2 linked regions of the Daphnia pulex genome follow. The main gene of each other region encodes a partner of the protein of the gene in region 2 in a complex. Links are inferred from orthologs where the notes say so. Each region holds a gene or a part of one and is shown on either strand. Other genes may lie near its edges. The genes, in order: thioredoxin-2-like and nuclear factor NF-kappa-B p100 subunit-like.

Region 1 (3,394 bases), about 1.8 Mb from region 2:
TCGACTTGCAGATGCAACGTCAATCGGAATTTCTCCTTCAACAACTCACACTGCTCTTCTCGTAGCTGGTTCAGTCGTCTTAAAAGTTGGCACGTGCGCTCAAACCTGGCCACAATTCGATCTTTCGAGATTCGGAGTTCTTTTTCCTATTTATACGAATGCATAAATTTTAATTATTTAATGATAGGACTGCGGTACTTACTCGACTTTTCAGCTTCACAATTCTGGCTTCGAGTTTCAGTTGACGTTCACGTGTCTGTTTTCCCATCTTGATGCTTGATGTACGTCTTGATCAGTAGCTCGTCGATGTCGAATGAAGTCTCAGTGGCAGAAATGTTCTGCGAACTAAATGTTTTTGGATTAAGTATCGATTGAGATGATCGAATTGGGAATTTTTTTTTGTGCCGATAATATTGGGAAAAGTTACGCAATTTATTGTAGCAATAAAATCGTAATTTATTGTAAATTTTGTCGTTGATTCCGAATTGGCATATCATTAATATTCGGTCGAATAATTTTCGATTATGATTCTAGTTGCAGTTAAACGAAATGGATGGCGCAATAAAAATTCCCATCCTATTTGGTAATTTCCCGCTATAACTAGACAAAGTGTCCTCCAAAACGGAAAAGAGCACTCTAAATTTACATTCCGTTGTGATCGCTGTAGCTAACAGGAAGAAAATGCAGTTGTATCTTGTTATAATTTTTAGGGTTCCCTTTCTGATCGTAGGCTCATTTTTCTATAGGAAATTCTGTAGACCCTCTCGGTGCCTTAATTTTTCCATTACAATGTATTAACTGCCGTCGTAATCAGATCTGATGTAATAAAGATTGCTAGAGAGTCACGTTTTACTCGAAATCCAATTATTATGTTATCGATTGGATATAGCGGCTGTTTCGGCTCTTTGTGTGTGTGTTACTGAGCGATTTAAATCTGACCGTGAAATCCTTATAGTTATCAAGAACCCAACCGTAAAAACTGGATTTCATTACAAGCGAGAGAGGGACGACACACTGATCAATATTAATATAGTTAGTTAAAGCTTTATCGAACGCATTCATCGATTTAGGTTTAGGCAATGTCATTAAATTATTGCTGTTGTTGAAGTCGGGGTTCCCGTTGCTATGGCTTCTTAATGGTATGAAAAACGCTGCAGTTCACATCAATTGGGAAAATGTGAAAATGCTTTTAGTTTATAGTGTAATTTGTATCTAACAATGAAAGAACAATTTTTTTGTCAGCCTGTATTTCCTGTGGTATAATGCAGAAAATCCCATTACACAATTATTTAATATAAAAGAGCATAGTATTCATCTAGCCAATATACAGGCCACATAACTGGGAAATCTATTTATGTTGATCAATCAGTTTTCTAAGCTGGTCTTCATTGGCTCCAGAAAACTCAGCAACCTATAATGAAACGACAGTTAGAAAGCTGTAATTATGAAATTTTTAGAGATGACTCACCTTTACACCATTCTTCAAGTAGAGGAATGTAGGCATGCACGAAATGTTGTACTCAGATGCAACATCTTCACATTCATCCACATCAACTTTAACGAAAACAACATTGGGCATCTCTTTCGACATTGCCTGCAGTAGAATTTGAAAGTTGATGAAACACCTACTTTGAAACAGTTATGAATATTAAGTTGGTGACCTCAATTTTTGGAGCAATCATCTTGCAGGGGCCACACCAAGTGGCATAAAAGTCCACAACAACTAATTTTCCTCCTGCTTCCTTCAACTGGTTATTGAAGTCTTGCTAGAATTTTTCAAAAAGAAAGTATATCAAACACGGAAAAGGAACCGTCCACGAGTTTGTTGTTGGTTTTGTAATTTGGCATAACGCAACAACGATAAAAGGAGGTCAAATTGATGGCGTTTCTCTCCTTTCAAACGATGATGTAACAAAAACCGAGAGCATGAGTCGATTGAAATGTGTACCTTGTCCTTAACTTGATAGACCATGATGATTAATATATCCCAAAGTTTACACGAACAGCAGGAATCGAATGTCACGTGAAGATCCTCGACGAGCTACTTGCAAACGACCGGCTCAAGCGTAAAATGACGAGTCAGAATTTAACGCACAGATCGGACAAGTGTCTTATGTTTGTTGCTAGCGCCACTGGTGGGAAAAATGAGAACATTTAGGCTTGGGTTCTAATTGATTCTTCGGGCCTTTAATAAATCAAGTTTGGTTGGATCTCATAGTCTGCCATCTAGTGGCGAAGCATCAGTCCCCAAGGAAAAGATTCAATTTCACGAGCACTTGAAAACTTATCTTTCACGCGTTGATCATTATTTTTAGTAATCGTTTAATTTTTCATGGTGTCTAAAAGTTTTCTGTAGTAAATTATAGCCAACGAATGGAGTAGTGACCTACCTAGTGAGTAAAAACCTCTAGTACCGCCCCCTTTTCCAACATACATTTTGTTGCTGACGTAAAACGTAAATCGTGAACGATGCACATTAATGGAAGGTCCCCTCATCACAACCCACGGCTTTGATTAAAGAGCCACAGTGATGCGATTAAATAAAAAAATGAATAAAAATGAACCAAAGAATGTCATCAGAAAAACATAGGGGGAGCCCACAATCGCACAATGCCATCTAGCAACCGATAGTCGAAATTAATCAGTCAATGGCGTCGTCGTCACCCGAAGAAAGCATTGTGACTAGTATAGAAAATGCTTGTAATTAATTCTCGCTGATTGCAACAGTATATCGTATTAGGTGTGTACAATCGTGTTGCTGCGTGTGTGTGTGTATACGATGTGGGTGCAAAAGTTACCTCATTAAACGAAGAGGCATCTGAGAGAGAAGCAGAGAAACGAGAAGCCTAGAGAGGAGGGGGTGGAGTCCAGTTGTCCATTGGAGGGGGGTGGCTTGGTGACGTCAACATATTCGTTTCTCCCCGTACTGCTGGTGCTGGTGAAAATTGTCTGTAGAAAGTCCCTCCGTGAATTCGTTGGAGAGAACCCCAAAGGTTCTGACTGGCGAGACTAGGGGGAAACCGTTGGGCTATACAGTGGGCGGAGCTTGGGCAGCAGCAGCAGCAGCCCAGCCAAGGCTTGTGGATGTGTCGCGGTTTTAACTTTTTTCTTACAACCGACTACTCGGAGCTAGTGTAAAGAGAAAAAGGGATATTATTTCGAATGATGGAATTCTCGGGGGCAGGGTCACGTGTGCCGCGCCGCTAAGGTAGTCCTCCATCCGTTTCGCTCATTTTCATCGACTCGATCAGTGTTTTCAACGTGTTTTAATTAAGTTTTTTAACCAACCCCACCGTCTAAACAACGAGCCTTGACTCTGTGTGTGTGTGTGCTCATTCCCTATACCCTTGCCACATCAATGGCTGTTGTGTTGTGTGTGTACGTGTTTGCCAGC
Region 2 (3,935 bases):
AACACGGTAAGATTAGGTTAGAACAGTATTGCTGCGTTAGTAAAATTCCACTTCGTTTAGAAAGACTGAACATCCACTTCATGTTTAGGACTTCCAATCAAATCTCGTATAAATCGAAATTCGAATTCGAGTTTTTCGAAACTTAAGATGAAGTCTAACTTAAATTGACAAAATCCAAATTCGCGGGTCAATTGAATTAATAGAAAATTTGAAGGTGAATATTCATTGAAGTTATTGCGGATATTTTTTTATGTGTACATTAATGCTGATTTCCGTAATTTTTTTAAATAAAATCATATGTAAAAGTATCAAAATGTGTGTCATTCAAAATACTTTATAATCGTTTAAAGAAGCACAGACAGGATAACAATTTTATGGAAACCTTTTAAATTTCGATTTTTGTGCTTTTATTCTTTAAATGATTAAAAAGTAATTTATTTTGTCTGTACTAACCATACAAATGTTTTGTGGATAAAGATCTTAACATAAATTGATTCGAATCGATTTAAATTAATTTTTTTTTACTTGAATCAAATCAATGTGATTTTTTTACAAAAATTCTCAATCCGAAATGAGGTTTCACATGTAAATTGATTTGAGTGGATTCCTACGTTTAACTATTTAAAAATGACTTTGCTACTTGGATTTCGAAGGCGTCATTTTTTACGCTTCTGAAAGTGGAGAGAAATAATCGAAACAATAAAAAAAAGAGAGGTCACCGTTAATTAATAGAAAATGGAATAAAAATGAATAACGCTCAAACTCCTCGGTTATTGTTGTTTTTCCATTAATATACTTAGCTAGTATTAAAAACTACAGTACGTGCATAAAAAAATACGAAATTTAGGACGACGAATTAGATTTTCCGTTTTCCTTTCACGCTTCTTTAACGCGGTAGTTTTAATTAGCAACATTTTCCACTACTATAGATATCTTTTAAAACTTACTTAAATTGTGAATAGCTTGGGAATATTGAGGTGGGCAGATCTGTTCACGAAAACCGTTTTGTTCCACAAAGGCCTCAAACTTTAGTTTAACCGAATGAAGATCCATTGTATTGGCTATCTTGTCTGCTTCGTCCTTCAACTATAATGACCGGGGATGAATGTTAAATAACTTTACTAATGCAACAACAAATAAGACTACTTAAAATAGAATATAATCATTGAAAACTCCATACCTGTTGCCCTTGGTTACGATTCATGGGTGCATTCCCCAGTTCATTTATCAAACGCCTTTCAACCACCTCACGGACTTGTTTTTTCGCTGTGTGTATAATTGTTAAACCGGAGAAACTTTAAAACAAAATATTTAAAAAAATTTATTATTACTATTATTAACAATTTTATTGAGTAGCCTATACATACGTTGCAGTCCATTCGTTTTTACCAGCGGAGACTATCATTTCTTGGTATTCTCCTTCGTTCCCATTGTTCCCATTGGAGTTTCCTTCCCCTCCAAGACGATGGACATGTGGAACAGGTTTTGAACTGTTTGTAACTAATGTACAACGAATAATAGCTTCTCGATCTTGACAGCCTTCCAACTAAAGACAGTCATTTAGTAATACTGGCATTAATATTAATTCTAAATAATTGTGAATAATTGGCAAAATGAAAATATACCAATACAAAACTGACTAATTCTAACACAACTAATATGTGTGACAGAAATAAGTGTCAACTGAAAAAGTTGAAATACAGTTCTATAGGTGGAATTATCGTACACTGTTTTACAACGGCATAACATTAAACGCAATAGCAGGAATCGCTTGGCGTTAACCCCTACCTCTCTTTTTAAATTAAGGTATTCTGACTTCTGAGTTATAAAGTGGAGATTAAAGATCAACAGTTTTGAATGATAATTCAACCCATATATAATTTACTACAACCTAGTAATTATAATTAAATACTTAAGATTCCAGATTTGAAATTATGGATGAGTTGGTAAATATTTACATTAGCAAGTGAAACATACTTGAACACGAATATATTCTTTTTTGTTCCGTTCCTTGCTTTCTGCCATAAGACATCCATGTGTTCCAGTCATTTCAGAGGCATAACGAAAACGAAACTTCCCTTGTGGTTGATTAAGTATAGATAAACATGGGGATAGCCTGCCTGGTCTGATAGGAATTGAACTGGGAGAATTTCCTGTAATAAAATGAATCCATATTTTACACAATTTTAACATAAATTCATTCTAAAAAACTGCTGATTACCCATGTAGGCACTGTTTGGTGAGGCACACATCATAGGAGAGTTTCCACTGGAGAAGCTGTGGCTTATCGGAGAACTTGAGGAATGTGATGATTCAGGTGAGTAAGGACTACTACCAATTGGTTGATGCATTCTTCATAATTTTAATTTTAATAATCATACTTATTAAATAACATTTGATTATATGTTAAAGAGATATAAATGATATAATGTATATCAACAGTCAACACAGTTCATAAGATACACAACGGAACTAACCTTGAATACACGAAAGAATTCTCGTATTAATTCAACGCAAACGAATTAGCTAAAAATCATTTCGATTTGCGTGTTATATTCAACAAAGACCGTTCAAACTGGAGCCTTTCACAAAGTTACAAAGTTTTATAAGTAAATTTAGCACTGCTCGCGCAATCTTTAGCCTGAAGCTTCATTGATATGACAGAAGGGGAAAACCCATGTGTATAAACAAAACTTTCGATTATATTCCATAGTCGGAGTTGTAAAACCTAAGACCTCTGTCGGCGTAAAATTGAAACACAAACAATTATAAATTGTAAAAAGTTAAAAACCTTTAAAGTAAAAAATTAATTTCTCAGCTAATTTATATTTAATATTTTTTTAAACTTTCATATGAAGCCGTAGTTTTTCTTTGGATAAATAAAAATGTGAATTTGACAACACAAAAAAAAATCTGCCGCAGCGGACAGCGCCATAACTCTCCGCTTCTTAAATGTACATTCTAATTCCATACGCTATGTTTTCGAAAACTGGTGGGTTTTTCCCCTTTATTTGTGGATACATTGCCTCATGTTGCACTCGAGAGACGTCCACTTTCCCAGTCCATAAATGTGTAATAAACAAACTTTCGGTGGTATGCACATGTTACGTTTCATATCTCGACTTTGATTCCAACACCAAAGATTAGCATGGCAAGTCGCTGGTGCATTCATTAAATCAAATGTTATCGAATATTATATGCAAACAGCAATGACGTGCGCAAATTTTGCAATATTTAAAATAATATAGTATGGTATTTAGAATATTCCATGCACAATACCGTTGAAAACGTTCATTTTTAAAATAGGCTACAATTACTTTTATAACAAAATTTATTTACAGGTGTTTATAATCAGACCCCTCGTTCGCTTTCGAGTTTCCAACTTGGTCTGGGTCTGACCTCTTTTGAATTTTTTTAACTCGTTTGTTTTTAATAAATTAAATTAAATAGTTTTAGATTCTTGCTAGGGAATTAAGAATTTATGGTCAGTACACTTCTAAGGCTTATCATCAAAATGACCGCCATAATCTTGTCGGGGATAGCATGTAAGAAGGGTAAACAACTAAAGAATAATTTTAATATAAAATAGACTAGATTGTATTTGGGCTTGAAGTAAAAATTAAAAGATGACCAATTGAGTAACACATCTAACGGTACAGGCAATAAGTGGGAAATACTTAAATATAGGTACAAAAATATTAAAAAATTGCGAATAACATTGCACCGTGCGACTTGCGTAGCAAGGTTCCCTCCGGGCTTTTGGTGCAAGAAACGGAATGCAGATCCCTTGCTTCGCACGCGAAGTATAGAAAGAAGTACAATTGAAAATAATATATTTACTTCCCACAGAGAAGCAGTAACGGGCGTGCAGCACAAAGATTTCAGATTTTCAGGTACTTAAATCACAGATAAAGACACCATAAGTCTTCTTTATC

Evidence for each region.
Region 1: the proteins of nuclear factor NF-kappa-B p100 subunit-like (region 2) and thioredoxin-2-like are in contact, whole or in part, in an NMR structure (PDB 1MDI), measured with the Homo sapiens proteins. The link is inferred for Daphnia pulex from reciprocal best matches to the Homo sapiens genes NFKB1 and TXN. Residues at the interface, in NP_001158884.1 of Homo sapiens: Arg56, Phe57, Arg58, Tyr59, Val60, Cys61, Glu62, Gly63, Pro64; in NP_003320.2 of Homo sapiens: Thr30, Trp31, Cys32, Pro34, Met37, Ile38, Asp58, Val59, Asp60, Asp61, Gln63, Ala66, Ser67, Val71, Lys72, Pro75, Ser90, Gly91, Ala92.

What each region holds. Positions count from the first base shown.
Region 1 is NC_060019.1:1,507,697-1,511,090, forward strand, and holds thioredoxin-2-like, read right to left. Parts: upstream 2,092-3,394; 5' UTR 1,973-2,091; coding exon 1,949-1,972; intron 1,767-1,948; coding exon 1,662-1,766; intron 1,595-1,661; coding exon 1,469-1,594; exon of another isoform or gene 1,412-1,468; coding exon 1,349-1,411; 3' UTR 793-1,348; downstream 1-792. Other genes in the region: E3 ubiquitin-protein ligase rnf8-B-like, read right to left, coding at 1-146, 203-268. UniProt on the Homo sapiens protein: Participates in various redox reactions through the reversible oxidation of its active center dithiol to a disulfide and catalyzes dithiol-disulfide exchange reactions.
Region 2 is NC_060019.1:3,340,799-3,344,733, forward strand, and holds the start of nuclear factor NF-kappa-B p100 subunit-like, read right to left. Parts: upstream 2,690-3,935; 5' UTR 2,478-2,689; intron 2,381-2,477; exon of another isoform or gene 2,353-2,380; 5' UTR 2,352-2,352; coding exon 2,222-2,351; intron 2,154-2,221; coding exon 1,978-2,153; intron 1,547-1,977; coding exon 1,368-1,546; intron 1,296-1,367; coding exon 1,181-1,295; intron 1,087-1,180; coding exon 948-1,086; intron 1-947.